Ovis aries: one gene and its partners. The protein of the gene in region 2 purifies or fractionates together with the protein of the main gene of each other region. This does not show direct contact. Links are inferred from orthologs where the notes say so. Each region holds a gene or a part of one and is shown on either strand. Other genes may lie near its edges.

Evidence for each region.
Region 1: the proteins of SMC1A (region 2) and WAPL purify together in Homo sapiens (affinity purification with mass spectrometry; 7 studies listed by BioGRID and IntAct, with this or other methods). This does not show direct contact. The link is inferred for Ovis aries from reciprocal best matches to the Homo sapiens genes SMC1A and WAPL.
Region 3: the proteins of SMC1A (region 2) and PDS5B purify together in Homo sapiens (affinity purification with western blotting; 8 studies listed by BioGRID and IntAct, with this or other methods). This does not show direct contact. The link is inferred for Ovis aries from reciprocal best matches to the Homo sapiens genes SMC1A and PDS5B.
Region 4: the proteins of SMC1A (region 2) and NIPBL purify together in Homo sapiens (affinity purification with mass spectrometry; 3 studies listed by BioGRID and IntAct, with this or other methods). This does not show direct contact. The link is inferred for Ovis aries from reciprocal best matches to the Homo sapiens genes SMC1A and NIPBL.

Annotation. Positions count from the first base shown.
Region 1 is NC_056078.1:40,194,090-40,201,227, forward strand, and holds part of WAPL (wings apart-like protein homolog), read right to left. Parts: intron 4,833-7,138; coding exon 4,657-4,832; intron 4,335-4,656; coding exon 4,219-4,334; intron 4,000-4,218; coding exon 3,835-3,999; intron 1,834-3,834; coding exon 1,626-1,833; intron 559-1,625; coding exon 470-558; intron 1-469. UniProt on the Homo sapiens protein: Regulator of sister chromatid cohesion in mitosis which negatively regulates cohesin association with chromatin. Involved in both sister chromatid cohesion during interphase and sister-chromatid resolution during early stages of mitosis.
Region 2 is NC_056080.1:51,280,040-51,287,177, reverse strand, and holds part of SMC1A (structural maintenance of chromosomes protein 1A), read left to right. Parts: intron 1-283; coding exon 284-487; intron 488-580; coding exon 581-819; intron 820-1,376; coding exon 1,377-1,635; intron 1,636-1,717; coding exon 1,718-1,858; intron 1,859-3,780; coding exon 3,781-3,863; intron 3,864-4,017; coding exon 4,018-4,225; intron 4,226-5,389; coding exon 5,390-5,575; intron 5,576-5,668; coding exon 5,669-5,848; intron 5,849-5,947; coding exon 5,948-6,094; intron 6,095-6,193; coding exon 6,194-6,331; intron 6,332-7,138. UniProt on the Homo sapiens protein: Involved in chromosome cohesion during cell cycle and in DNA repair. Central component of cohesin complex. The cohesin complex is required for the cohesion of sister chromatids after DNA replication.
Region 3 is NC_056063.1:28,614,365-28,621,502, forward strand, and holds part of PDS5B (sister chromatid cohesion protein PDS5 homolog B), read right to left. Parts: intron 6,159-7,138; coding exon 5,719-6,158; intron 5,629-5,718; coding exon 5,518-5,628; coding exon of another isoform or gene 5,514-5,517; intron 2,445-5,513; coding exon 2,306-2,444; intron 918-2,305; coding exon 882-917; 3' UTR 1-881. UniProt on the Homo sapiens protein: Regulator of sister chromatid cohesion in mitosis which may stabilize cohesin complex association with chromatin. May couple sister chromatid cohesion during mitosis to DNA replication.
Region 4 is NC_056069.1:37,517,156-37,524,902, forward strand, and holds the start of NIPBL (nipped-B-like protein), read right to left. Parts: upstream 4,804-7,747; 5' UTR 4,392-4,803; intron 1-4,391. UniProt on the Homo sapiens protein: Plays an important role in the loading of the cohesin complex on to DNA. Forms a heterodimeric complex (also known as cohesin loading complex) with MAU2/SCC4 which mediates the loading of the cohesin complex onto chromatin.

The DNA of each region.
Region 1 (7,138 bases), on a different chromosome or scaffold from region 2:
AAAGTCCTAGGGAAAAGAAATCATTGCTCTTTAAACAAAGAGAAACAAACAGGCCACATTCTTCTGCTGGGCACTATTTAACTAGGTGAGACACAGAGTCAGCATAGGTGCATGAAGAAAGCTAGCAAAAGACAACACGCAGAGGAGAGCAGAGTTTAAAGGTAGAAATTATGAGTCCTTGGTATCACTGAGGCGAACCTTTTCCACCTTAAGCCAGCTGAGCACAGGTCTCATATGGTGCTTTTACTTCAACCAAAGACATATAAGTTGATTCCTCTATCAATCTGGAACTTTCTCATCGAAACCAATATACTCTTACTTTGAAATGTACCTTCTAAAGTTCACCAAATATTTGAAAGTTTTTAACAGGAGGGAAAAATAAAGTAACAAGTTAATTAAGTAACGATGTGAAGTGGCTGCAGTGAAATTCTTATAGGATAACATAAAACAACACAGAACTCTTACTTACTGGACTCTCCTGGCAGAGACACCCAAGAAGCAGTGCGGTGTATGAGGCCACAATGCAATCCTCCATGTGTTTGCCAGCATGTTGAAGGGCTGAAAGTATTAAAACAGAAAACTAATAGTGCATGTGCATATATATATAAACCAAAAACTACAACAACAAAAGCACCTAGGAAACCAGCAACTGTGTCATCTTTACTTCAAAACTGCTAAACGTTGATAATGGTGCTGCTGCTGCTGCTGCTGCTAAGTCACTTCAGTCATGTCCGACTCTGTGCGACCCCATAGACGGGAGCCCACTAGGCTCCCCCATCCCTGGGATTCTCTAGGCAAGAACACTGGAGTGAGTTTCCATTTCCTTCTCCAATGCATGAAAGTGAAAAGTGAAAGTGAAGTCGCTCAGTCGTGTCCGACTCTTTGCAACCCCATGGACTACAGCCTACCAGGCTCCTCCGCCCATGGGATTTTCCAAGAAAGAATACTGGAGTTGGGTGCCATCGCTTTCTCTGGATAATGGTGCTAGGAAGATGTAATATCCACACAAATTAACCAAAAAAAAAAACAAAAACAAAAACAAAACCCACAAATGGTAGAGGGAGCTTAATATAAAAGCTAAAACCATAAAACCCTTAGAAGAAAACAGAGGACTAAATATTTGTGCCCTTGGGTTAGGAAATGGTTTCTTAGACACACCACCAGGACCACAAAAGACAATATAAAAAATAGGTAAGTTAGACTTTATCAAATCTAAAGCTTCACCTTCAAGAAGACAACTCATAGAATTTATCTGCAAACCAGGTACTTGATAAGAATCGAGGCTCTAAAAATTCTACTCAATAACAACAAAAGATAACCCAATTTAAAATATGGGCAAAATATCAAAACTGTAAACACCCTTAGGAGTCATGTTACTTGGTTGCTTCTCTTCACAGACAGTAAAGAGAGGCCCAGGGAGGAAACACAGACCTTCCAACAGTACATACACGCCACTCTCACCGCTAGGTGAAGACTGCTACCAAACAGCAAAGCCTGTGTGCACTCAACCAGAGAGGCCATAAAACAGCAAGATTATGACCACACATGAAGTAAAAAAATGTTTTACAGGGGAAAAAACACACACACACATCTTTTAAAAAATAAAGCAGTCAAAGAAAACATACCTTTATTGAGGTCGAGTTCTTCATCATCCTCCTCCTTCTTGTTTTTCTCTTCTGCACCATCAGTCTTCTCGGTTGATACCCACTGTATTTCTCCACTTGTTTCTTGCCACTCTCCACTCTTATCATGCTGAGTGGTGGGCGCATCTTTGATCAATTCATCTGTTTTACTTTCTGCCAACTGTGCTGCTCGTTCTCGCTCAAGGAACAGCTGATAAACATTTTTGAAGGTCATTAAAAAGGGATCACCTACCAACATCAATGTACCCAAATATAAGGCTCCATTTGCTTTTAAACATCATTAACCCTAAGAAGCATACTGTCTGGTAAAAAGGCTACACATCAGTAAAAGCCCTAGCTCTACATCCAACTGAAGACAAAACAAAACTATAAATGCTGCTGGGATTCAATTAAGTAAATTATCTACTGATGATGCATGCATTCTATTTTTAAGAATGAAAATCTCAACACTTTCCTTTAATTTGGATAATAACGGGCAGGAAGTTCAAGCAAAAATTACAAATTAAAAGTTAAAATTAAAACAGTTAAAAATTCTTTAAATCCAAGCAGCCTGGATAAATTAACTGGAAGGAAGAGAGGACACTGGATAAAGTTTCACAATATTTGGGGAAAACAAATGGCTTCTTTAAAAGAAATTTAAAGAAATAAAAAACAAAGAAAGTAGAAAACAAGTTCTCAGAGAAAGGCAGAACTAAATCTCAACTGCTATATTAACAATAAAAGTATAGTGCTTGCTTCAGCAACACATATAACAGAGAATATTAGCATGGTCCCTGTGCAAAGATGACACTGATATACAGACTTGTTGCCTACAGGGAGGGGGATGGGAGAGGGAAGGACTAGGAGTTTGGGGTTAACAGGTGCAAACTATTACATACAGAATGGATGGATACAAGGTCCTACTCCACAGCACAGGGAACTAAATTCACTGTGATGGGATAAGCCATAAGGGAAAAGAATATGAAGAAGAATGCATATGTATAGCTGAGTCACTTTGCTGTGCAGCAGAAATTAACACTGCAGATCAACAACATTTCAATTAAAAAAATCCAAGTACAATTGTCAATGGAAGTATATACCAAAAAAGTCTAAAAAGGAAACATACTAAAAACTCTTGCCTTCACTTACTTATTTCCCTGTGCTGGCACAAAGTTGAATATACAGAAAGCATTTCATATATTTGCTGATGTGATCTGGAGAAACCCTAAATTACTGATGACAGCTATCAGAAAACTAAATGCCAAGTAGATCTCAAAAACTTGCTGAAATATACAGAAGAATGGTATGTAAACTCTAATACCCTTAAGAAAGTAAATGTATTTTATAGTTTTTTCAGTTTGACTTCTAATTTAGTAAATATCAACAGATAAAGCACACATAAACAAAGCTCTTTGGAGTCCCCAGTAATTGTTAAGAGTATAAAGGGGGGCGGGCCAAAAAAAAAAAAAAAAAAAGAGTATAAAGAAGTCCTGAGATCAAAATGTTTGAAAAGAGACTGACAGGCATCTAGTTGCAGATTATTTCCTGAAAACACAGTTCACAAGCACTTCTAGTTTCAAAAAGACCAAAAGGATTAAAGGTTAGCTAAAATTTCAGAAAAATTGAAAAGGATGGTTCATTATTACTGTCACTTAAGGAAATGACAAAAGTAGCTTGCAAAAAGATAAAAACTGTAATGCCAGCATTGTCGAAAAAACCCCAAAAACTCACATATAGTTTTGGGAGGAAGTATAAACAAGAGGAAAGGGAGTGTTTGGGGTGGGGTGAGTTGGGGACATCAGTTTTAACATATTAGTACACATTCTAACAAGTTAGGAAATTACTCCAAAGATATACATACTTTGAAAAGTATGTCCCAGTATTCAGATGCACACAGTCCTGGGCACAGATCAGACCAGTAAATGCTAGAGGACTAAGGCTAGAAGTTAATACCTAATTTGTTGTTAATGATCTATCTTTGATTCATAAACAAATGGGCCTTGTTTCTGCTTTTTGCTAACAGTGTCTAATGAGTGACTGTCATAGCTGAAAACAGCGGAGTAAATGAAGTAATGGTACACATTCTAACCTCTCACTGAACTGGTAAAAATATCAGAGGGAGAGAGGAGGCTGAAGGGAGACAGAAGATGCAAGTGATCAAGAACTTGGACAGATGCAACGAACAAAGGGTTATGGTTAAACTGTTGCTTACCTGCACTAAAGCCTGAACTGCATGAACTTGTCCAGCTATCCTTAAACTATCATCTCCTTCTCCACTACAGAAGGAAGAATCAAAAGAACATGATGTTTCCATGTTGACAAGACAGTGCCGATTTCGAGCACTATATTCCACTAGATTTATCAGTAGACCTAAACCCTACAAAAATGAAAACATGCATGTTACCACAGGTGAGGATTAAAAGCAAATGAACACAATATGCGTAACCCTTCATGGCAGCCAGAAAGCAAGCCAGTGCTCGACCATCTACACGGTTAAACCCAGTATATAAAATGATCACCTTCCCAATCAAAGACGTCGTTTGCATCATCTTACTAGATCAAGTATGCATGTAAGCAACAAGCCACTTAGACTCACCAGCACTCGAATATCGAATCTCTGCTCCTGAGGTAGGTACTTTGGAACCTGAAGCACGCAGTTCATGGCTGTGCCAATCAAGCCATCCTGCTCTCCTGTTTTGGTGCTGCCCCATTCTGAAGTGGGGAATGGGCAAAGTGTGAAATTGTGACCAACTATTAACACGAATATTAAAAGTTAAAAACACATAGCTTAAAAAAGAATAGTCATTTCTTTATTAAAATATATTGTTGACTGTAATATTTCTAAGCCAAGCCACAAGGCAGGTTCTAAAAATATCAGCTCTTAAAAGCAGTTAAATCTATACATGAATAAGTGAGTTACGTGACAGCAATTTAAAAACCACTACACTGAGAGAAGAAACAAGGGGATTGGCTTATTTTTGCATGTGACACTGTACAGTCTATTAATGAGAATATATGCAGAAGCGTGGCTTACCATTGTCATTGGTTAAGTTGAGCAGCACCCCAATGATGGCTCTCATGCAGTCTTCCACTGCTTTGCCCACGTGGTTAGTTACATTCTGCTGAGGCAGAGGCTTACTGTCAGGTAAGCATATACTGTTCTCAGCACGGTTATACTGCTTAATCAGCTCTTCACAATGTTGTAATGCTCTTAAGAGAAGACAAAATATAGACTATTACGCTCAACAAAAATAGTTATATTAAGAACTTCTACTGACTTGGACCTTAATGCTTTAAATCTGTCATAAAGGCTGTCAAATTAATCTTTTTCTACTCAGATGTTATGTGAACTATTTAATCATGTATCAAACATGTCTGATATCACATTAGGTGCTAAATTTTATTTTGGGAAAACTTGTTAATATAAATTTTTCTAAGCAAAGTGAAAATTATAAACTCGATGTAAAAGTTTATACTACCAACAGCTGTCCCCAATTTTTCCAATCTCTCCAACATAACAAACCTACTACCCCACCTCACCCAAGGTAAAACCATTAAAAGCCAGCACTGGACACTTCTGAATTTCATTTAGATGTTTGTCCTTTAGAATGTGAACTCTCAGCAGGTAGAGGATATTATTTATATTACTATTACATAATAACTGTATAAACAGATACTAAATACTTCATAAACATTAGAACATTTTTAAAAACATGAGGTCATTTAACTGACATGTTTGTCTTCTGGCAGTCATGCAAGGGTATTAGCTACATCTAAGGATTCATAAGATACTACCCAAAGTAACAAAGAAATGTAATCTTTAAGTGGTTCTAGTATTTCTGAGACTCTTTAAATCACTGAGTCCATTAACTTAATATCTATGAGATAATGATGAAATACACAAATTGTGAGTTGATTCTTTATGTATACCATGCAAAATCCTTAAAACTACTATGTCTAATTCCCCTCTAGATGCTTCTTAAAAAAAACTCTCTAATTAGGAAGGTATTCGTGTCTAACCTAAAATAATGTGTTCAGATGTTTGGGGATGTTCACCAGGATTACCATGCTGTTACTGTTAACTGCCTAAGTAGCACTGAACTAAATCTGTTGGGAGGTGAGAAGAGACAGTAAGGGTGTATTGTTTAATTACTCAATATACCATCCTTGCATTTATCAGCATTCTGCTGAAAGCTTCAGAAAGTCTGAGGAGTGGTCTTTCACAAACATCCAATTCTAATGTCTACTGACACAAGTTCCTAATCACAAAAGGTTCCTAATGTTTTAGAACGCATTTGTCAGGAGTCATTAAGCATATCGGAGACATTTTAAAAATAAGATACAAATTTAACTTGCACAAATATTCTTTGGTGAGAAAGTAAAACATAGTAATAGAACAACTAGAACACATACCTTAAAGGTATTAAGTATGACACAGAATTCACAAATACAGGATGGAGGGAAAGCCTACAGACTAAAACAAGAATATTGGGAAGTAGAGACTATTAGAAATTTGGGATTATGGGAAAAACTGAATACTGACTGGACTTATAATATGAAGCAATTGCTAATTTTTAAGAGATGAAAATGCTATTTTGGTTATATTTTTTATTTTTATTTTTTTCCTCAATAATTACTTTTTTTTTTCATTTTATTTTTTTTAATATATTTTTTAAAGAGTCCTCTTTTCTCAAGTATTTATGGATGGAACTATATGAAATCTGTAATCTGCTCCAAAATAATATAGAGGGCAGAATGGATAAGGTTATATATACATGGTAACATGACTGGCCAATGTTTGATGATCACATTCAAGCTGCATGTACACTGGGGCTTATCATATTATTGTCTACTCTTATCTCTGTTTGAAATTCTCCAAAACAAGAAGTTAAAACACAGATAAACTTGAGTCAGGCTGTAGAGGGCCTTTGATACTAAGGACTTTGGACATACATCCAAAGACAAGAAATCACACAGATTTGGAGTTTGGGATTATTTTTACAAAACAAAAATCTGAGGAAGGTTAACCCACTGTGGTGTAACGTTGGACAGGCTAGAGGCCAGAGTACCAGGGCAGAGATATCAACAACTAAACAGACTTTTTAGTAAGAAGTTGCTGTTAATAAGCTAGAACCAAGACTGGAGACATACTTGGAAACTTTATACACACTGAGGTGATATCATTAGCCCAGTGTCAAGAACGCTGGGCAGAGAGTGTGAAATGAAGGAAGCTACATATAGATCTGGGAAAATAGGTATAAATAAACAGCAGAAAGCAGCTAGTAAAATTCATTTACAATAAAAATAAGGACTAATGCTTACTACTATATGCCAAGCATTATTTCAGGCTTTACATATGTATATTAACTCCTTCTATATATTGTACATAATCTATATTATATATAATATACAAATGATATTTTAAAATCTTTTTTAGAATTAAAATATTATTTAAAATATGTATCATATATAACTTAAAATATATTAACATACACACTTAATTCTTTTACTGCAAC
Region 2 (7,138 bases):
ACCTTCTCGCATAGATACTCCTAGCAGTCATCTCCCCTCAAGCTTCATTTAGTTCTTTTTATGTATTCCTGCTGTCACTGCACATAATACATGGTGTTATCTCTGCTGCTATTTCTTCTGTTCCCCATGTACAAAAAAGGCAGGGGATGTCCTCAAAGCTCAGTGGCGAAATGTGGCACCCAGGGTGGGGAAGGGATCAGTGAACATTTTCTGAATGATGGAGTGGGTAGGGGAACTGAACTGAGTAGGGTCTAAGTGGGGAGAGTGTTTTGACCTTTACTAGGGTGCTGTGGAATCTATTGCCATGAAGAACCCCAAAGAGAGGACAGCTCTTTTTGAAGAGATCAGTCGCTCTGGGGAGCTGGCCCAGGAATATGACAAGCGAAAAAAGGAAATGGTAAAAGCTGAAGAGGACACACAGTTTAATTACCATCGCAAAAAAAACATTGCAGCTGAACGGAAGGAGGCCAAACAAGAAAAAGAAGAGGTAGGTGGCCAGGTTGCCTCTGGGATCTGAGAGGCCAGGATGAAGCCAGGGCCTCACTGATGCACCCCTGTCTCCACACCTCTATTTGCACAGGCTGACCGCTACCAGCGCCTGAAGGATGAGGTGGTGCGAGCTCAGGTACAGTTGCAGCTTTTCAAACTTTATCATAACGAAGTGGAAATTGAGAAGCTCAACAAAGAACTGGCCTCTAAGAACAAGGAAATAGAGAAGGACAAGAAGCGGATGGACAAGGTAGAGGATGAGCTGAAGGAGAAGAAGAAGGAGCTGGGCAAAATGATGCGGGAACAACAGCAGATTGAGAAGGAGATCAAGTAAGTGGCAGGACTGAGCCTGCAACTTGTGGAAAGCATCTTCCCCTTGACTTGGCTTTGGCTAGAATCAGGCACATTTCTTGACTTGCATGTTAGACAGATAGTATTTAAGTACTCAGACTCCATGTAGATAGGTACTCGGAAAAGGAGAACTTGAAAAGGGTGGTGGCTTTGCCAAAAAGAAGTGATGGGAAGCCATTCGTGACTAATAGTCCCTTCCTTGAAGAGGAAAACTGGAGCTTCAAGGTCAAAGAACAGAAATTTGAAAAGGTTAGATCAGATGGGGAACAGTTATGTGAACACAGGGTACTCTTGGGAGTTGTTACCGAGAGGTCTGGCCTGGCTAAGGTTGAGGCAGGGGTGGTAGCTTTACCTTCTAGAGTGGCTGGAATGCCAGGCTGAAGCCATCACAGGATCTGTGGGGCATCGGCCCTGTTCTTTTAGGCACTTCCCTGAGGCTTGGAAGGGAAGCGCCTAATCCCCCTTTGGATTAAAAAGCCTTGGAACCCTCCCTTCTCCCACTGAGCTAATTGGTTCCCCCTCCCCTCTGGTGAAAGGGAGAAGGACTCAGAGCTGAACCAGAAGCGGCCTCAGTACATCAAGGCCAAGGAAAATACTTCCCACAAAATCAAGAAGCTGGAAGCAGCCAAAAAGTCGCTACAGAATGCTCAGAAGCATTATAAGAAGCGTAAAGGTGACATGGATGAGCTGGAAAAGGAGATGCTGTCAGTGGAGAAAGCTCGGCAGGAGTTTGAGGAACGGATGGAAGAGGAAAGTCAGAGTCAGGGCAGAGATTTGACCTTGGAGGAGAATCAGGTAAGCTCTGAGGGGTGCGGGGATGGGCAAATAGATTGCGAGGCTGACAGGACTGATTTGGTTGCCCCTGTCCCTGACACAGGTGAAGAAATATCACCGGTTGAAAGAAGAAGCCAGCAAGAGAGCAGCTACCCTGGCCCAGGAGCTGGAGAAGTTTAATCGAGACCAGAAGGCTGACCAGGACCGGCTGGATCTGGAAGAACGGAAGAAAGTAGAGACAGAGGTGGGCATGCCTTACAAGATTAGGGGTGATGGTCCAGAGAAAAGGAAGTAACAGTAGTCTTAACAGTAATGACCATAGTTAACATCTAGCATGGGGCTTCTCTGGTGGCTCAGTGGTAAAGAATCTGCCTGCCAATGCAGGAGACACAGGTTTGGTCCCTGGGAACATTCTCCTGGAGAAGGAAATGGCAACCCATTCTAGTATTCTTGCCTGGGAAATTCCATGGACAGAGGAGCCTGGCGGGCTACAGTCCATGGGATCTCAAAAGAGTTGGACATAGCGACTAAACAACAAAAGGCAAGCTCTTACTGTGTGCTAGGCACTGTTTTTACATATATGCAGTCATCTTTTAAAATATTTATTTATTTGTCTGTTTTGTTTTTGGCTGTCCTGGTTTTTAGTTGCTGCTTGCAGGCTTTCTCTAGTTGCAGTGCTCAGACTTCTCATTGCAGTGGCTTCTCTTTTTGTGGCGCACAGGCTCTCGGGCCCACGGGCTTCAATAACTGTGGCTCTTGGGCTCCAGAAAGCTGGCTCAGTAGTTGTGGAACATAGGCTTACTTGCTCTGCAGCATGTGGGATCTTCTGGACCAGGGATCAAACCTCTGTCCCCTGCATTGGCAGGTGAATTCTTAACCATGGGACTACCAGGGAGGTCCCTGCCTAAGGTTATTAACTGGCAGAACTGGGATATGAACCTGGGCAGTGTAGCCCACACTTTTTTGGTTTTTTTTTGGCTGCACCTTGTGGCATGTGGAATCTTAGTTCTCTGACCAGGGGTTGAATCTGCACCCCCTGCAGTAGAAGGATAGAGTCCTAGCCACTGGACCACCAGGGAAGTCCCGGAAGCCCACACTTTCAAGTATATTTCACTTACCACCTTCCTAATAACAATCATAGTAAAATAATAGGAATGATGGAAAGTTGTTATAATATTCCAAGAGCCTACAATGTTCCAGGCATTGTGGTGCTGCTGCTGCTGCTGCTGCTAAGTCACTTCAGTCATGTCCGACTGTGTGCGGCCCCATAGACAGCAGCCCACAAGGCTCCACCGTCCCTGGGATTCTCCAGGCAAGAATACTGAAGTGGGTTGCCATTTCCTTCTCCAATGCATGAAAGTGAAAAGTGAAAGTGAAGTCATTCAGTCGTGTCCAACTCTTAGCGACCCCATGGACTGCAGCCCACCAGGCTCCTCCGTCCATGGGATTTTCCAGGCAAGAGTGCTGGAGTGGGTTGCCATTGCCTTCTCCGGGCGTTGTGCTAAGCAGTTTTAAATGTTTAAAAGAAGGTATTAGGCATTAATTAATAGCTAGGGGCTTCCCAGGTATGCTAGTAGTAAAGAATCCACCTGCCAATTCAGGAGATAAGCGTTCAATCCCTGGGTCGGAAAGATCCTCTGGAGTAGGAAATGGCAACGCATTCCAGTATTCTTGCCTGGCAAATTCCATGAACAGGAGCCTGGTACACTAGAGTCCATGGGGCCGCAAAGAGTAGGACATGACTGAGCAATTGAGTGCACACACACACAGAATTAGTGGCTAATACATGTTAAGCACTTAATGTGTATTCTATGAAGTGGAAGTTACCTGCATTTTATAGATGATAAAGCAGAAGTGCAGAAAGGCCCAGAAAGCTTTACTTTGTCTTGGTTTGAGCCTGCCTGCTTGGTGAGGAAGATGTTCCAGGCTGGGTAGAACACCTATGAGAGGGTCTCATAGGGCCCATGGTGGCCCCATCAGTTAGCAGAGGCACACTGAACACTGTTTATATCCGATTTTTAATAGGCCTCTTATACTAGTGACAGATTGTCTGTGATTGTTAGGCTGTTAGAATGATTAGGCATATGGGGGATGAGCCAGGACTCTATGGTCTTGGCCTTAACTTGCTCAGCCTATGGTGATGTAGTGTTTTTGTCTCTCTCCCAGGCCAAGATCAAGCAAAAGCTGCGGGAGATTGAAGAGAATCAGAAACGGATTGAGAAACTAGAGGAATACATCACAACCAGCAAGTATGTGGCTTTGTAACATTCCCTCTTATCTCCAGGCCTGTTCTTGTGAACCCTACCTGTCCTGCCCCTCCCCAGGAAGGACCCTCATCATCCCTCTCGGCCAGGAATATTTTCTGGCCAGCCAGGGTAACCCCAGTATTTCCTCACTTTGTAGGCAGTCTCTAGAGGAGCAGAAGAAACTAGAGGGGGAGCTGACAGAGGAGGTGGAGATGGCCAAGCGGCGTATTGATGAGATTAATAAGGAGCTGAACCAGGTAATGGAGCAGCTGGGGGATGCCCGCATCGACCGCCAAGAGAGCAGCCGCCAACAGCGAAAGGCAGAAATTATGGAAAGCATCAAGCGCCTGTACCCTGGTTCTGTGGTAAGAGTCGAAAGGGAATTCATTTCCTGACCACTGTCTTTCATACTCACTGTCAGATAATTTTCCCAGCAGCCCCATGAGGACAGATTGCTAATTCCATTTTTACACCTGGGGAAAACAGGGTCAGAGAGGTTGAATGACTTGCTCAAAACAGCATAGCTTATATGTATAAGAACTGCAATTCAAATCCAACTTGTTCTTACTCTTAACCTTGTGTTCTTTTCATTGCACCAGTTGTATCTTTCTGAAAGTTTTGTCTTGCTTGTGTCCACTCCTTTATGGGAGGTGGAGAAAGTGAAGAGGCCTTTGGGAAAGGGAAGGGGCTGCAGGGCAGGAATTAGTTCCCAGGATGTATCAGTAGCTTTGTGCAGGCTTCAGTGTGAGCTCCTTAAGCATATAACAGTCAGCTCATTTACTAGGTTCTTTTGGCCTCTTGAATGAAATCCTGAGTTTCCAGATTCCCTGAATATTATCCCTCTATTGCTGTAATTCCATCCCTGGGTTCAACTTAATTGGGTTCTACAAATATTTCTTGATCATTTCCGTAGATCAGGGGTCCCCAACCTCCAGGATCTAATGCCTGATGATCTGAGGTGGAGCTGATGTAATAATAATAGAAATAAAATGCACAATAAATGTAATGTGGGATGATTCAAGCGCGTTGCATTTATTGTGCTCTTTATTTGTGGAACCAAATTAAGTTGCATAATGCCTGTGGTGCCAGTGGTCTATGAAATGGTAAAAGTGAGGTTTAGAAAGATGATTCTGGATTCAGACATGACTGCCTGAAGTTGTTGTTGCTTTGGGGCCAGTGAAGTGAAGTCGCTCAGTCATGTCCGACTCTTTGCGACCCCATGGACTGTAGCCTACCAGGCTCCTCTGTCCATGGGATTTTCCAGGCAATAGTCCTGGAGTGAATTGCCATTTCCTTCTCCAGGGGATCTTCCCAACCCAGGGATCAAACCCGGGTCTCCCTCTTTGTAGACAGACGCTTTACCATCTGAGCCACCAGGGAAGTCCAGAGTAGGCCTTTTCCCCATAGTTTGGGAGCTGTGCTCCTGATAGAGATTCTGACCTGCTATCCCCCTTCTAAGCTAGGAGTTAGGGTTCCTGAGCCAGCTCTCAAAAACTTCATGCTTCATTCACTCTTCTGACTTTCCTTAGTACGGCCGCCTCATTGACCTCTGCCAGCCCACACAAAAGAAGTATCAGATTGCAGTAACCAAGGTTTTGGGCAAGAACATGGATGCTATAATTGTGGACTCAGAGAAGACAGGCCGGGACTGCATTCAGTATATCAAGGAGCAGCGTGGGGAGCCTGAAACCTTCTTGCCTCTTGATTACCTGGAGGTGAGGCTGGTGGTGATGGGGTCAGGGCAGTGTGAGAGGGCTGCTCCTCCTAGCCCTCCATGTTCAGCCACTTAACTAAGCTTTTTCTCATAGGTAAAACCTACAGATGAGAAACTCCGGGAGCTGAAGGGGGCAAAGCTGGTGATTGATGTGATTCGCTATGAGCCACCTCACATCAAAAAGGCCCTGCAGTATGCTTGTGGCAATGCCCTTGTCTGTGACAATGTGGAGGATGCCCGCCGCATTGCCTTTGGAGGCCACCAGCGCCACAAGGTATGGATTCCCTTGCCACATTGTAGCTGGATAGGCTTAGTATTGGCGATTCCTTTGTTCAGCTTCTCTCCCCTCCTCTCTTTTCCCTGCTGTATTTAGACAGTGGCACTGGATGGGACCCTGTTCCAGAAGTCAGGGGTGATCTCTGGCGGGGCCAGTGACCTGAAGGCCAAGGCCCGACGCTGGGATGAGAAAGCAGTAGACAAGTTGAAAGAGAAAAAGGAGCGGTTGACAGAAGAGCTGAAGGTAAGCCACAGGCAGGGCTGTCCCTAGGAATGGGAGTCCTAAGCCCAGGCCAGCCGGCCACCTTCTTACCACCTAGCCTTTCCCTCTTGTCCACTTCAGGAGCAGATGAAGGCAAAGCGAAAAGAGGCAGAACTACGTCAGGTGCAGTCTCAGGCCCACGGACTGCAGATGCGGCTCAAGTACTCACAGAGTGACCTAGAACAGACCAAGACACGGCATCTGGCCCTTAATCTGCAGGTGGGACCTGGCTTTCAGCCCTGTTGGGCCATGGCCAATGGCCATCCTCATATTCCTGCTCTACGCTCAGTTCTAGGGGTGGGGAAGTTGTCCCTCTTCCCTCTTTCCTCCCAGTCTGTTCCTGGAAACCAGGAATAGATGGCATTGAGTTAGACAGTCAGGGGTTTAGGACTTGGCTCTATATTAGGCAAGTTACTAAACCTCTCAATGTTCAAATCCTTTGATCATTTTTATATTGGTTTGTAAGAGTTTTTTGAAAAATATATTCCAGAAATGTCTTTTTCAAATGCATGTATTGCAGATACTCAAAGAACATTCTTGTTTTTGTAAACCTCTCAGTGTCCATTTTTTCATCTTAATCTGTAAATAATCTGTAGAAGGATAGGGTCCTTGCACAGATTGAATGAGTTAATACATGTGAAGTATTTAGACTGATTGCTTGTACCAAGTGAATGTTCAGTAAATGTTAGGTGCTATTAACCTAATTAATTCATTCAGCAAATATTTGAGTTGCTTCTGAGTTTTGAAAGTGAGCTACAGATATTTCAGTCCCTGTGAGTGGAGGTACTTTTCTAGCTATATTAATGTGTTTGATTATGGGTGCTTCCCCAGACCACTCTGGAGGTGTTATGTAATATGTATGTCATTTTTCTAAAATCAAAAAGTCTAAATTCCAAGACACACCTGGCCCCAGGGGTTACAGATGAGGAAAGTGTCGACCTGTAAATAACAATGTTTATTGTGTGCCCAGCCTTTTGGATTGAACCTGACAGACTGGAGGCCAGGGAAGGAAGCCATATGATGGTT
Region 3 (7,138 bases), on a different chromosome or scaffold from region 2:
ACACAATAACATTCTAGACTATCAGAAACTAATTCAAATTACAGAATTTTATTGATACAGTAGATTAATAAAAACTGAAAAGGGATGATAAAACGGGATAAAGAATTCAGTACATTATTTTATTAACACACTCTTTAAAATTAAAATATTTTAAATCTCTCTCTTTTTAAAATTTTCGTTGCCATGACAGGCCAGAAAATTCTGGGACCAATACTGAGGTGTAAAATAATCAAACAACTTCAGGACTGTTTCACCATTTGTGTGGCGTCCTCCCATCAGAGGCATGATTCAGGTGTGATGGCAGACCACTTAGCACCTCTGCAGATTAAGGATGCCTGGGAGTAAACACCAGCTAACAGACGTATGGGAAAGAGAGCATTTCAACTCTCCAACAAACAGTGACATCAAGAAAATGACACCATTTGTTGAAAAAAAATTTTTTTCACAGTAAATTGCAGAGAATACAAATACAAACACTGACAGATTACTGCTTAAGATCTATCCTAACAAACTCTTTTCAAATCAATAGATCCAATAAACAGCTGGGCACTGTCAGTTTAAAGCCACAGATAAAAGCTATACAAGCACTTTAGAAGTCAGAAACATTTAAAAAAAAAGAAAAATATATTTACAAGTTTCTTCTTTAGTTTATGTCTACATAGCCATCGCACATTAGACTCTTTCATAAGACTCCACAGTCAATGTTGTCACCATGCGCATGGCTAAAGCGTGTGACCACAGACACATGAGGTCATCAGAGTAAGGTCCAACTGTCCACTCTTCAGCAGTCCCATTTTGTGCATCAAAGGCTTTACTCAGCCTGAAGCTTGATAACCATTTTTTTCAAAGCTCTCACACAGAAAGTTATTAACGGCATCTGTTCATCGCCTTTCTCTTTTAGAACCTCGCCGCCGCACCTTGAAAGAAACATCAACAGGTGTAATTACCATTGTTTTATAACCAATTATTATTCTTAACACGTTCCTGATAGTCCTTTCTTAAAATCTTTCTCCTACATTAACTTTCAGCCTTAGCATCACATACATGAATGCTTATAAATAGCCTTTCCCAGGATTAGCAAAAGAGAAAATATTTTACTTTTCTGTTTAATAATTTTAAAGAGAAATGAACAGAAGTCAATGTCAATGGCAAAAAACAATGACAAACATCACCATGTTATTTATGTGTCTTTAATAAAGGAAAACATCTGGTATTTATGAACTTAGGCGTATAGCTACCTTTCTCAGAAGTTACTTATTGAGTTTGGATCATAATAACTATCAAAAAGATATAAAAAATGTGGCAAGTACTAATGAAAACATAAAATTTCAGATAAAATAAGTTTAGTATTATGAAGAGGAACACAAACAGAACAGGATTTTAATGTAATTAACTTATAGTTTAGTTTTCCTTTAATGAAGCCATCAGTTACTATGTACACATCAGCCTTATTTTTATACCTTCCCCCCATAAAAACCCTTTATAAGCCAAACTAGTTTGAGACCATAATTCAACATATTTTTTTCCTCTGGTCTTCAACTAATTCAGATAAATGAATCCTGATGCAGACAGAGGTGCTGATTATATTAAATAAGACAGAGAGGCAGGGGTCAACTCTGGGGCTTGATCACAGGACACACGTTTCTCAAACAAAAAACTGAAACTAGCTGAGCTGATCCACAGATTCAGCAAGAATATTAGCAATACACAGCTCTTACTTAGACGCATCAATTATATTTCTTCCAAAGAGAAAAATCGGAGCTGTGACAGGCAGCCATTCATTATTTTAAAAAGTATCTTGGGAGGCATCACATTCCTACTTTTGTGAAAGAAAGGTCTATTGCCAATTTTTATGAATTCCAAACGCTAATTTTATTTGAAGACATGACTTTATTCTACATGACTGACTAAATTCTAGTTGCTACTGAGAAACTCAAACAAAAAACTTATACGAAATATCACCAAGAGTATATGTAACAGATACTGGGAAAACTTAAGTGCATGTGGTGTCGTCCTGAGACTATCACTTGCTCTTCTCTGTATTCAGTTGTACACTGGACATTTACACTTTCACTAGGCTATGTCTATTATTCTCACTTGGTTTCAGGTTTTCATAAATGATATTTTCTCCACAATCTAAGCTGATAGATGAACTAACACACTACAAACAAATGAAAAAATATATACATAAATATTCAGAATTATTAAGTAACAGCAAGTGCTAAAAGAATCTGACCACTTATCAACTCTAATTCTACTGAATATACTCCATACTATCACACATGGAACTTTAAAAAACACATACATTTACTGTAGAGACTTCATCTTCTTCTGTTTCTTCCTGTGGATTTTCATCATTGACAGGAGAGCTACCCTGAAACACATCTATTTCTTCACTTGAGTCATTTTCTTTAGTAGCTGCTTGTTTAGAGCGTCCTACACGGCTAGAGTAAAACACAGGTAAAATAAAATGAACATTGTGATCTTTAAGTGGTAGTTTACCTTCATAAGAGGCCTTCCCTGGTATACCACTCAGCTGGTTAAGAATCTGCCTGCAAGGCAGGAGAATCAGGGGTTTGATTCCTGGGTTGGGAAGATCCCCTGGCGAAGGGACAGGCTACCCACTCCAGAATTCTTGAGCTTCCTTGGTGGCTCAGACGGTAAAGATGAATGAATGCAGGAGACCTGGGTTCAATTCCTGGGTTGGGAAGATCCCCTGGAGAAGGAAATGGCTACCCCCCCGCCCCCCCAGTATTCTGGCCTGGAGAATTCCCATGGACTCCATGGGGTCACGAAGAGTCGGAAATGAATGAGCAACTTCACTTTCTACTTTACTTCATAAGAGGAAATGCTTTAATTACTTAATAGACTGTCCTTTATTATCATTTTTACCCTCAATTACCGTGTAAGCCAAGAAATATTTTTCTTACATTCTAAACCCTAAACCAGTACTTAACCCTAGATTGTTACATATAAAAAGATCTAACAAATAACAAAAGTCAGGGTGACTGAAACCAACGCCATAAAGGATTTTAATATATAACCCAAAGTCTACTCTTCCTTTCCCAAGTCTGTAAAAGGCATCTATGTCTACTGAGTTGCTGAAACCAGAAAATTTAGAGTCTTCCTTAATAGTGTGCAATTCTTTGTCTGACCCAAAGATTCTACTTGTAAAGAAATATCAAATCCATTCACTCTCTCCATCTTCACTGTTACATCATACATATTTCTAAACCATTCTCATCTCTTGCCTCTAAGTAATCTTTTAAAAATGTAAAACAGCTGATGTCATGCCCCTGAGAGAGGCCCCTACTGTACTGAGAGTAACTGCATTAACCTCCTTGATAAGTACATAAGGACCTTTAGACTGGCCTTGCCTACTTTCAGTTCTCATCTCTTTCTATACCCCAATTCCCTGAAACTGCAATACAGCAAAAACTTTGCCTTCCTTCGGCTCTCTGAATTTGTCAAGATTGTTCCCACTTCAGCACCTTCCAAAACAATGTCCCCTCCACTTGAAATGTTCCTCTCCCTACTCTCTAGAAGTCTAAGTCCTACTGTTCTCAAGGAATCAACTTGAGGAATCAACTTGTTCTCAAGGAATCAACTTTCCAAAGAGAAAACTTCCCCAGTTCCCCAGCCCTCTCATTACACTCTCTTACAGCACCCTAACTTTGTCCTCCAAGGTACATTTCACAACTTATTATTTCACATTCATGTGTGATTATTTAATAACTACATTCCCTTTTAGATGCTAAGCACTATAAGGATGTCTGTTTTCTGTCACTATATTCCTTAGCACCTAGTACTCTCTGACACATAGAAGATACTCAAAAATATGTAACAGATACCACCATTTAATTAAACGTATATATCTGTTGGTATTTAATTTAGAATTTCCTCATCATTTCTATAAGCAACTGAATATACATACTGTTTAATCTGTACTCAAACCAATTTTCTCAAATTTACTTGATTTAGTTTTTCAGAATTAACAGAAGAAAATACAGGGAAAATAATATAATCTTGCTCAATTCCACTAAGATCAGAACAAGAAAACAAGCAAATAGTAACATATGTGATCATACTACCTCTAAAGAGGGGCCTTCCAGTAAAAAGAAGTTAGGCTGTTAAGATAGGACATAGACTCTCTCTCTCTGTGTGTTGATTTTTTTAACAGAAAATACTTGCTTCATTAAAAACATTCCCATGAGGAGGACTTGTGTAATTTTACAAGACAAAATGATAATCATATAAGCCCTTAATTTTATGATGCCCCAATATAAATTAAAGTTATAAGCATGAAAGATATTTACCCTGTTATTTTGTTATAAAGTTAATCATTGAAATTTAGGCTATCTTAGGAATTTTTTTTAAGTTATTTTTCCATGGTTGCATACAAACACATTTATAAAGCTGCCGAAAAAATGTACTTACCTTTACTTTTTACGTGAAGGAAAAATTAAATGGAAAAAGGTGGGAAGTACTGGCTAGACACTCAGTAACTTTTCCCATGGAATACACAGGAACAGGAAACTATGAACTGAGTGTTTAACCAAGGTGTGCTGGCAACTGAAAAGTCAAGCCACTGAAGTATGAGATTACTTTCAGAAAAACTGTAAAATTTCTGACAGACAACATGCTACTCTGTTTTTGCTTTAAATGAGGAAAAAAGTGCCAAATTTATAAATTACAACATTGATGCCCCTGCCACTTTAATAATTTTGGACACAGATTTGTTACTATAACTCTCCTATAAACATGTACTTGTGTGAACATCCAAAACTATCTATATGTAGATACAGATGTGTTAATTTACTTAGAAAACAATATCAAGACATCAAAAGCTTGAGATCACTATGTGATAATTTCCACCAACGTACTTAGGAAAAATGATGCCTGTTACTTTCCTACACTGATCAAAGAATGAAAGCAAAAGTGTATAAGCTATTTTTTTAAAGCTGCTGAGGAAAGATGGAAAACCTGTGGTGTGGAGTAACAAGAAAATGTGATCTATGCGTGATTATTTAAAGATACGCCATCGTCTCTTTAGGTACCATAAAGTGTGTACTGGAAATAATCAACTATTTGGTATTTGTTTATAACCATTTCTCTAAAGCCTATAAAAATGTACAAATGTCGCCAAAGGATGATTGGGATATTAATCACCTAGGTAAGTTTACAAAAATTTTATCTTACCTAGTATAATGGGCTAAATATATGGGTGGCTCAGACAGTAAAGAATCTGCCTGCAGTGTAGGAGATCTCGTTCGATTCTTAGGTCAGGAAGATCTCCTGGAGAAGGGAATGGCAACCCACTCCAGGATTCTTGCCTGGAGAATTCTTCCTTGGAGAATGGACAAGGGAGCCTGGTGGGCTACAGTCCAAGGGGTAACGAAGAGCTGGACACGACTGAGCAACGAACACTTTCACTATGTATTGTTATACTTAGAAATTTATGAACTCTTGCAAAATAATTTGAAACTGGTTTGAAACTTAATATTATTTACAACTTACACATTTTTGGGGGGTTGTGATGGTGATGGTGTTTTTGATGGTCTTCCTCGTCCTTTCTGTGGTGTGGACTGTGTGGATTCAACTGCACTAGTTTCTGGAGACTCTGCTCTGCTTTGGGAAAGACCCAGATGCAGACAGCATCAAGTTATGATTTACAGTACAATAACTGAATGCATGCAGTTCAGAGTGGCACACACTTACCTCTGCTGTGCTCTCCTTGAAGGCCGGTGCTGTTTACTTTTTGACTTCTGCTCTGTGTTTCCACTTTGTCTTTCTTCTTCCTCCTCCTCTTCTGCTGTTGAAGGTCCAGATTTTTTTTTGCTTCCTTTTTTGGATGTTTTCATCGTTGGCTCTTCTTTGGGTGTACCCCCACCAAGAGGTTTTGGTGGTCGGCCTCGTTTACCTTTTTTTGGTGGACTGTTCTGTTCATCCTCATTTTCTAGTATATCTTCTTTGAGCCTCTTTTCCTCAGGCCACTGCTGTTCGTCTGACTCTGAAGCTGTATGGCCTCTCTTTCGTCCACGCTGACTGCCTTTAGGTTTCTGTTCCTGTACCAACTTGGAAAGGTCATCCATGCCTAATTTCTCTTCTGAATCTGTTACAGGTGTCTTTTTCCGGCTTCTAGGTTTGTCCAATTCAGACTAGGAATAAAAGCCACGATTTCAAATATAAAACTTAGTATACATTATTTGTGTGTGTGTGTGTGTGTGTATATGTTCAAGAATAAACAAATGAACAAAATCTGTTATCTACTTCAGTTATAAGAATGTACCTAATAAGGTCTAGAGGTTTTAAGCATGTCGGAACCATAACTACCTACTTGCTTTTATTAACAATTTTCTAATATAAAACATAATCTGGGGGTAAGAGGGTAAATTTTTATTCTTACTCTAGCTAAAGAGCCTCAGATGAAACCTCTCAGTAGATGAATAGATGATAAATTTTTGATGAAGAGCTAGTCCATTAAAAAGAACATTCTAAATTCAACACTTAAAAGGAGTCATAGTTCAGTACTCATTATGAAGAATTGCAGTTCTTATTAGTATCTGCTGTCTCTACCAAGTTTTAATTGGCAACTTACTTTCAAATATTTCACAAATGTCTATACTGTTTCAGTAATAAAATCAATATATTTTCTTAAAAAAAAATCCATCTGGTCTACTAAAAAAAAAGAAAAAAAGCCAAATTCAATGCTTAAATAATAGACAACTACACTGAGTATAGTGCATCTGCATTTGACAGTCAATTTAAGTAATCCTAATTTTACCACTCAGTGTATATAATAAGACATAAATATTAACTAGGTAATGCATAATGCATACACATCATAAAAGAACTATTTTATTTCAAAAGTGGAGGTTGTAAGATACAAAGTTAAACATATTCATCATTTATTAAAAATTCTGAAAACATTTCTGAATCAAAGATATTGCTTTTTCCCAGATACAACAATACAAAAATCAGTGACTTCCAAATTTAACATAAAATCCCAGTCTACAGTCACAGAATTTAAGCCTTGACTCGTAGATGGCGATTCTTTAAAGAAATTCTTCAAAGAAACAAGGAAGAGTATGCATGACTTTGTAATTTTCTCCATAGGTTTGAAGAAGTGAAGTGAAGT
Region 4 (7,747 bases), on a different chromosome or scaffold from region 2:
AAGCCCTCAAAATCTTATCCAGTGGGCAATTCTGTATCAACAAATGATCTCTTCTAGTAAATCACTTTGGGAATAGAAAGGAACCTGCCTTAAAATATAATGCAATCTGACAAAACTCAATTCATTAAAATTGACTCCAGATTTGATGCTTAAAATTGCTTTTAAATCAAGTAGAAACGCTAATATTCCACTCTAGTCATTAAAAAATTGAATAAAAATAGAACTTTAAGGAGTCATTATTTACTACAAATATAGTCAATTCACTTACACTCCTGAACAGAGACATGTAAATAAACTCAACCACTCAAACAGCCAACATATATACACAAAGGGAAGATATCTAACAGAAAAGTACTATTTTCATACCAGGAAAATACAACCAAAAGATAGGTATCATATCTCTCTATGGAGATGAGAAAAGCACCTTGGACTCAGATAATCGGGAAAAAAAAAAAATCACAGATGGTATCAGTGTCAGCACGGAGCAATACCTAGCTTCATGACCAAAGCTCACACATTACTTAAAGCAACATAATCTAATAAGAAACTATTAAGAGTCAGAGAAATACCCTAATCTCCCACTGAGTCACTAAGTGAATCTACACAAATCACGTGGCCTGAGTTTTTTCATCAAAAAGTTGAAATCACACTGATCATTCATCTTGCAGGGGAATGAGAATATTTATGAATGAACTCAGGTCACCTTGAAAAAGAACCAATGTAAAAATAGGAAGAATAATTACTGACAACTGCTAAAAATAGAAAAAGAACTTCCTTCAAAAAGCATATTTTAAAATGATTTTTAAAAGCTATATGAGACCATACATTACCACCAAAGCCAACTTAGTATCTTAGGATATTAAAATAAACATGTCAACTAACCACTTAGTTACTAGCTCCTGGTCAGTAATTTCCTATTTATTTTATAGCAAATAAACATGATAAACAGAACTGAAGTTACACATGTATGAAAAGAATTTTTATTTAACTCAGCCTTCTCAATCACTTTATATAAAACTGAAATCTTACATCATCTTAAAAATTTCAGAATTACTTACAAAGTATGCTTTTCCTAATAAGCAACGGAGTGGGGAAATTTAAATGAAACTGTGTAAAACTGAAACTCTTTAGTTTTTATCTACTTTTTATTATTAATGTTTACATCTTATTTTGGGAGAGTAAAAATACTACCATAGATCATACCAAAATATAACGCAGATGTATTCAAATGTTTAGACAGCAGTCTGATAGTGAACTGGTCACCAAAAAATTAAATATGAAATTAGTTAAGGAAGTCTTAGAAAATACATGCTTAAGTTGGGTATCGTGGCTCCAAAGAAAGAAAGGTTCACGTCTGAATTGGTACAGCTTTTGCTCATATTATTTTTGAGATTCAATAGTGATTATTATGCAGAAAACCAAAACTAAGTTTACTACCATACTAAAAACTCTCACTTTTCATCCCCAAAGAGAAATTGAAATTTCTTCAAATACAAGTCTTTTCTTCCTAAAGGTGGATAGTACTATAATGATCCCTAGCACAGGTTCAAAAAGCTTTCGAACTACAGTAAACAAATTTGTTGAATGGCTTTCAAAAGGAAACATCCAATATACTCATCTCAAAATACTAGAAGTAATTATTTACTATTCAACTTTAATTTACTAGACTTTCATGACATACTTCAAAACTATTTTCAAGTAATTATTGTAAGTTACTAGTAACTTCGAAGACTCAAAAGAAACAATAAATCATACTGCTGAAATTTCCTCTAGGTATACCATAAAGTATTTACCCAAATAATATAACTAGCACTGTAAGATCTGTGGAATACTTGGAGCTGTTTCCTTCCACTGAATTTAAAAAAAAGAAAAAGAAATACAAGATTAGCCCTGGTGAGTATTCCAACCAATACAGGGGAGTAGAGCAGACTATTCATAATCTCTAGGGAAACAAATTATTCTTTCCAACTAAGTTATCAAGGATGTAAAGTTCAAGTTTAGGTTTTACTGAAGTTTCGCAATATCTTCTCCTTTAAAAATAACCTATTTACCTGGTTTGGACCAAACAAAATATTTCCAACCTACTTAAAAGTAGTATTTATGCTAGCTGAATGAAAGGTATCATACAACCTGTATTACTTACGGATTACCAAATATGTAGAATTAGGAAAATAAGGTCTAATAAGAACTAATTCACTATAATGCCAAAGTCACAACAAAAAAATCAATCACACAGACATATGACATACTGATTCAAACAAACATGTGTAAGAAAGCTCCCTTTATAACTATAAAACGCCAAAGATAAGTTTTTCCTGTTGATGAAAACTAAGCAAGCAGAACTCCACTTTCCATTACCTTTAACTGAAGGATGTTCATCCCTTGACATACACCTCAGTAGTTTATTTAAATAAAGTTGTAAAGACAATCACAGGTTCTTATCAGGGCCTTTTTCAACATTAATATTGAAGCCCTTACCCCGCCCCCTCACCCTCAAATCCTCCGCTTAAGAAATGAACTGTTCCTACCTTCCGTATTCTCCTCTCCGCCCCCAGCCCCAAACCCTTTCCCAGTCCCCATTTGCGTGCCCCCCACCCAGTGTAGGCCTGAGGCCCTGTAGCAAACAGTGTCTAACAGGAGCAGGCAGCACAAAGACAGGAATGGGAGATTAGTGGGAGGGAGGGAGGCCGGGATTGGGGCTCAGCAGGAGCTTCAGGCTTTTTAAAATTCAAACTGCTCCCTGACCAATACAAATCACGGACACGCTACTGACTACTACACGGATTTATAGCATTAAAAACATGCCTAGTACGTGACAGCTATATTAACTTCACTCTTTCTAACATTTATCCATACGTTTGCAGGAAACGTGGAAGAATTTACTTTAAGCAAAAGGCTAAACTCAAAAATCACCTCCAGAAAAGTTACTTGTTCTACGATGACATAATAATTTAATGAGAGGCAAAAAATTTGAACCAACGTAACACTCACCAATAAAACAAGGGACTTTGTTGATCGGTGTTGCTTCATTTTAACCAATGAAAGTTTTCCTTCAGTGAATATGAGACAAAGTATCAAAACAGTCTAACCCAGGAACAATTATTTTTCTATGCAACTTGTATGGCTGAGCACTTTTAAACTGGCTTTTCCCTTATACCAACCTACATTATCAACGCCTCCACAAACAAGCTCCAAGCACTTAACTTACTTGTGAGCTAGAATTTAAGATAAAATTGATATTTTTCTCCAGCATTTACAGATACATTTGACCTATTAAAATGACACCTCTCTCATTACACAGTCAAACATCATGGGCACAAACAGCCAATGACAATCCTGGGACCTCAAGAAGATCTGCCCTGACATGAAAGGATGGCACCTTTCACATTTTTTTTTAACCTCCCAGGGATTTTAAGCATAACTTCATTTCTGTCCTTTTAAAGGAAATTGGATGTACTTATATCTCACCGCAATTCTCAGAACATTTAAAAACCTTTTTAAGCTTCTACACGTTTAGATCAGGAAGTACCTGAGTGTTTCACGTATAATCAGTTAAAACTGTCCTTATATAACGCACACAAATATAAAGAGGCAGGGTAAACCTGTCAAGTACTTTACACTTGTCTCTGAATAAAAAGTCCATGTGCAACACACTGTCAAACAACAACATAAAAGCGCTTTGCGTGGGTGGGGGGGTCATATGCAGTGTCTACTATACTATAGTTTTCTGTATTAAATATTCATGTGGACGATTTAATTTTCCTTAAAAAGAAAATGAGTCTTTATTAACTTTCCAACGTCCAAACAAGTTCTACACAGGAAAAGAATTACCACTGGATCCGTGTCTGAGTATTTACATTTGTCTCACTAACTGAAACTACTTCCTCCCTTCATGGGGTCACAGGGGGAAGAAGGGGGGTTGTTTGTTTCACTGGGACGTTCCCCACTCCCGGACCAGGAAAGTTGTAAATATGGGGACGGAGAGGGCACATTTGCTGTTAGTTGTATTGTTTCCGCCTCCTCACTAGCTACAGCTCTTCTCCCGGGCGAGGCCTGTCACCGACCAGCAGTAGCTCCGCTCAGCCCGGAGCTCTCCTAATCCCCGAGCTCAAGTAGATTCCGCTGGCCCGCGGCCTGCACTCTCCGCCGGGCCTACGCCTCCCCGGCCGCCCGGCAGGAGCCCAGTCCCCGCCACCGGAGCCGGCCGGGAGAGGGTACAAAACCACCGCCACCCAGGGCGGCTGCCACCAGAGAGGAGCGAACTCTAGACTCGCCCGTGGAGGAGACCTGGGGCCGCTAAGGAAACGGCGGGGAGGGGAGCGAGGAGGAGAGACGCTGAGGACCTGGCGCCGCCGCCGCCGCCGCCGCCGAAATAAAGAGCAGGAATTTACCTGGGCGAATCGGCGTCTGAATCCAAGGGGAGGCCGAGGCCGCTGTGGCGAGAGACTATAATCCGGGCCGGGAGGGGGGGTGGCTACGGCTCCTCTTCCGTCTCCTCAGTGCGGGGAACATGTAGAGCCGGGGGGAGACCAGCCGAGAAGACAAATCGCTGCTTCTTCTTCCTCCTCCTCCTCCTTCTCCCACATAGAAACACTCACAAACACCCGACCAGGGGCCCGAGCTACCGGGGGGGCATCGCCGCCGGCCCGGGAACCAATCCTCCAGTCGGCGGGGGCGTCCCTCCCTGCGGCTTGGTGGTGTCGGGTGAGTCGGTACCGACGGAGGGAGGGGGGGGAGGGCGGGGGGGGAAGGAGCCCTGTGTGTGTCTCTCTCTCGTTCCGTCTCTCCCTCTCAGAACAAAATGCCGACCGGAAGTGCAGCTGCAGGAATGACTCCCTCCGCCGGCGCCAAACACTAACAACCACCCCCTCTTCCCCACTCCACTTCCGCCACCGCCGCGCCGCCGCCGCCACTTGGGCTCGCGTCTTCGGCCTCGCCGCACTGCACAGCCCGTGCCGCTCAGCTCCGCACCGCACCCGAGGCCCGGAGGCGGCCGGCAGCGAGGCGGCGGGGGCCTCTCCTCCGCGCCCTTCTCGTCGGGGCGGCTGTGGACGTTGCCTTTTAGTGTCGATCCTGCGGAGCGGCGTTTTCGCTGTGGCACGAGCGGGCCAGGTCTTCCTGGTCTTTATTTTCCTGGAGGCCGGCCGGAACGGGGCCTGAGCCTCGGTGGTGGTCGTATGCGTGGGGGGCGCTCAGGCCGGGACCGGCTCGCAGACCACGCACGCCGCCCCAGCTGCTCGTCATTAGCTCTCGGGAGCCGAGCTCGGGGCGGCCACGTAGAGGACGCCCGCGATCGGACGGCGACCGAGCATTTTTTAAATGGTGTCCCTGCAGCCGGGTGGATGGATGTATCGTATTGTACACTCTTCTCTCTTTTTGAGAGGCCGGACTTTACTCCCATCTCTGCATTATTTCTGCGGAGTAAGGACGCAACCCTTGAAGGAGACGAAGATTCTCAGCTGGATTGAATTGGAATCGTGTTTGTAATGCATTTATTTCTGGAAATATGTGGTCTTTTCTGGGCTCGCTTTTTGTTGATGGTGGTTTTGGCTCTTGCCTAGCAGTCGGGATAAAGGCCTGTAGGCGACGCTGTTCGAGCGAGGAGCCGGCCCGCGGTGGGCCCGGAGCGCGCCCCATTCTAGGTGTGGGTGGAGCCGAGCGCGCGGGGAGAGCCGGCGGACTGCGGGCCGGGCCGATTTCAGACATCGTTTTCCTCTTTACGCTCGAAACAGAGGTCCTGACCAAGGCTGGAGTACAGATGCGATTCTGTGTACAGTACCGAGCCTTCTGTAGTCTCTTACTGAAACACCTGAAATAACTTTATCATACAGTTCACTATTAAGTTTACTATTTACTTCTGTAAATATAGAGGGTGCTATTCTTCAGGTAAAAGTGCCTAGGTAAGCGGATTTTATTCAAATGGGACGAAATTTGTGTTATATTATCGTGAGTTTACTTAAGTTGTATGTGAACTGTATTTGTCTGTGTACCAGTACGCTGAAAGTTAAACAGGCAAATTTGCCCGCGGGCCATTCCTTTTGCTTCAGAGATCGCTACAAGGACTAAATCAGATCTTACGCGTCTCTCGAGCCGGCATTTGCTTAGCCGGGAGTAAAAGCCGAAGTCTTGACCACGGCCTGAAGGCGCTGCGCGCGGTGGGGCGCGGGGAGTCGCCTCGGTTGCGGAGCCAGCAGGGTGTCTGCTCCGCCTTCTACCAAGCTCCTTCCACGAGTGCCACAGAGTTTCTCTCTTACTTTCAGGGTTTTGCTCGGCTGTCTCCTCGGGGCTCTGTGGCCTCTCTTTAAACTGGACGTTCCCGATTCCCTCCTCATTTTTATCCTGCAGGCATTCTACTTATCATGCTTGTTTATCTCATCTGTACCGATAGAATAATGTAAGCTCCAGGAGGGCAAGGTCCTCCCCCCTCGCCGCCCCAAACTGGAGTTTTGTGTAGAAAATACTGCCTGACACACAGTATTTGCTTAATAGCTGGATAATGAATGAACGACGATTATAAGGGCCTTGACCTCACCCCACACATACACCCGTTTCTGAACTCTATTCCTTACGTGTATATATACTTATATGCTACAGAGAACTTTTATGAAAAGTGTGTGAAAACAAAAGAAAACCGGGGGGGAAAGTGCAAGTTTATTACAAAGTTCTAGGAAACGGCACTACTTCTAGACATTGAAAGCCCCCTAGAAGCACCAGAAGCCCACAAACGAGTGATAGTTACATGTTTTTAGATAAATGGGCTTGCTCGAGGACAGTACATTATGTGATCCATTGGATTATGAGTATATTCATATTGCTTTCCTCTCTTCCTCAATCAAACTGCATTCTTCATCCATTCTGTACTCTTTCTTGAAAACCATGCTATTTTCACTAAGTTAAAGTATGTGAAAATTTGGTTGGCTTAGTCCAAATCCAGCACTGCTGTAGAAATTCATTCAGCAAGTACATATCGAGCACAAAATATATTCCGCCCGGCACAATGATTCAAAAGGTGCTGTGTTTCTGAGGCTTAAAGGACCACATATGGCTACTTTGGTTACTACTAAATTATGCTGTCAAGCAAAGCAAACGCTAGTTAGATTTATTTTTACAGTTTCATTCTGAAGAAAAGGTTCAGTGAAAGCTGAGGTCAGGCTTAGTTTGGATATTTTAATTCACCTTTTAGTTTGCTGTTCATTTACTTACTTTATTATGATAAGTACCACGTATACCAATAAGTTAACTGGTAAATTGATTTTTGAAAACTGAAACATGTAGAATTTTTACTTACTAGTGGTTGGATGAACAAGACTTTAAAATATATGCTATAAGCCTTTGGGAATTATTTCATGTATGGAAATTTTGGACAAGAAAAGACAATCTTGATAAGTATTTCATAACCATTAATACAATTAAGTAGACATTGTCTAGTAAATCCAACAGTTTGTTCATTATTAAGCACAGCTTTGAGTAATATACAGATGGTTCAGAATGTGTTTTTCATTCCTTTTCAGAATACTAATATTTCAGTTTTCTTAGAGAAGCAAAATTATCTTCTTATATACTTCCTTAAATGTTACTGTTAAGCTGAAAATTTTGCATGTTCAGGTAACAAAAGTCTTGGCATTGTTGTACCATTTAATTTAAAATTTTAGGTATTTTTTTTCTTCCCTCACTACTTAAGAGGAACTTACTAGGTGCTATAATTAGCTTTTACAGTAGGCACCTCCTAAACATTAGTGAATTAAAA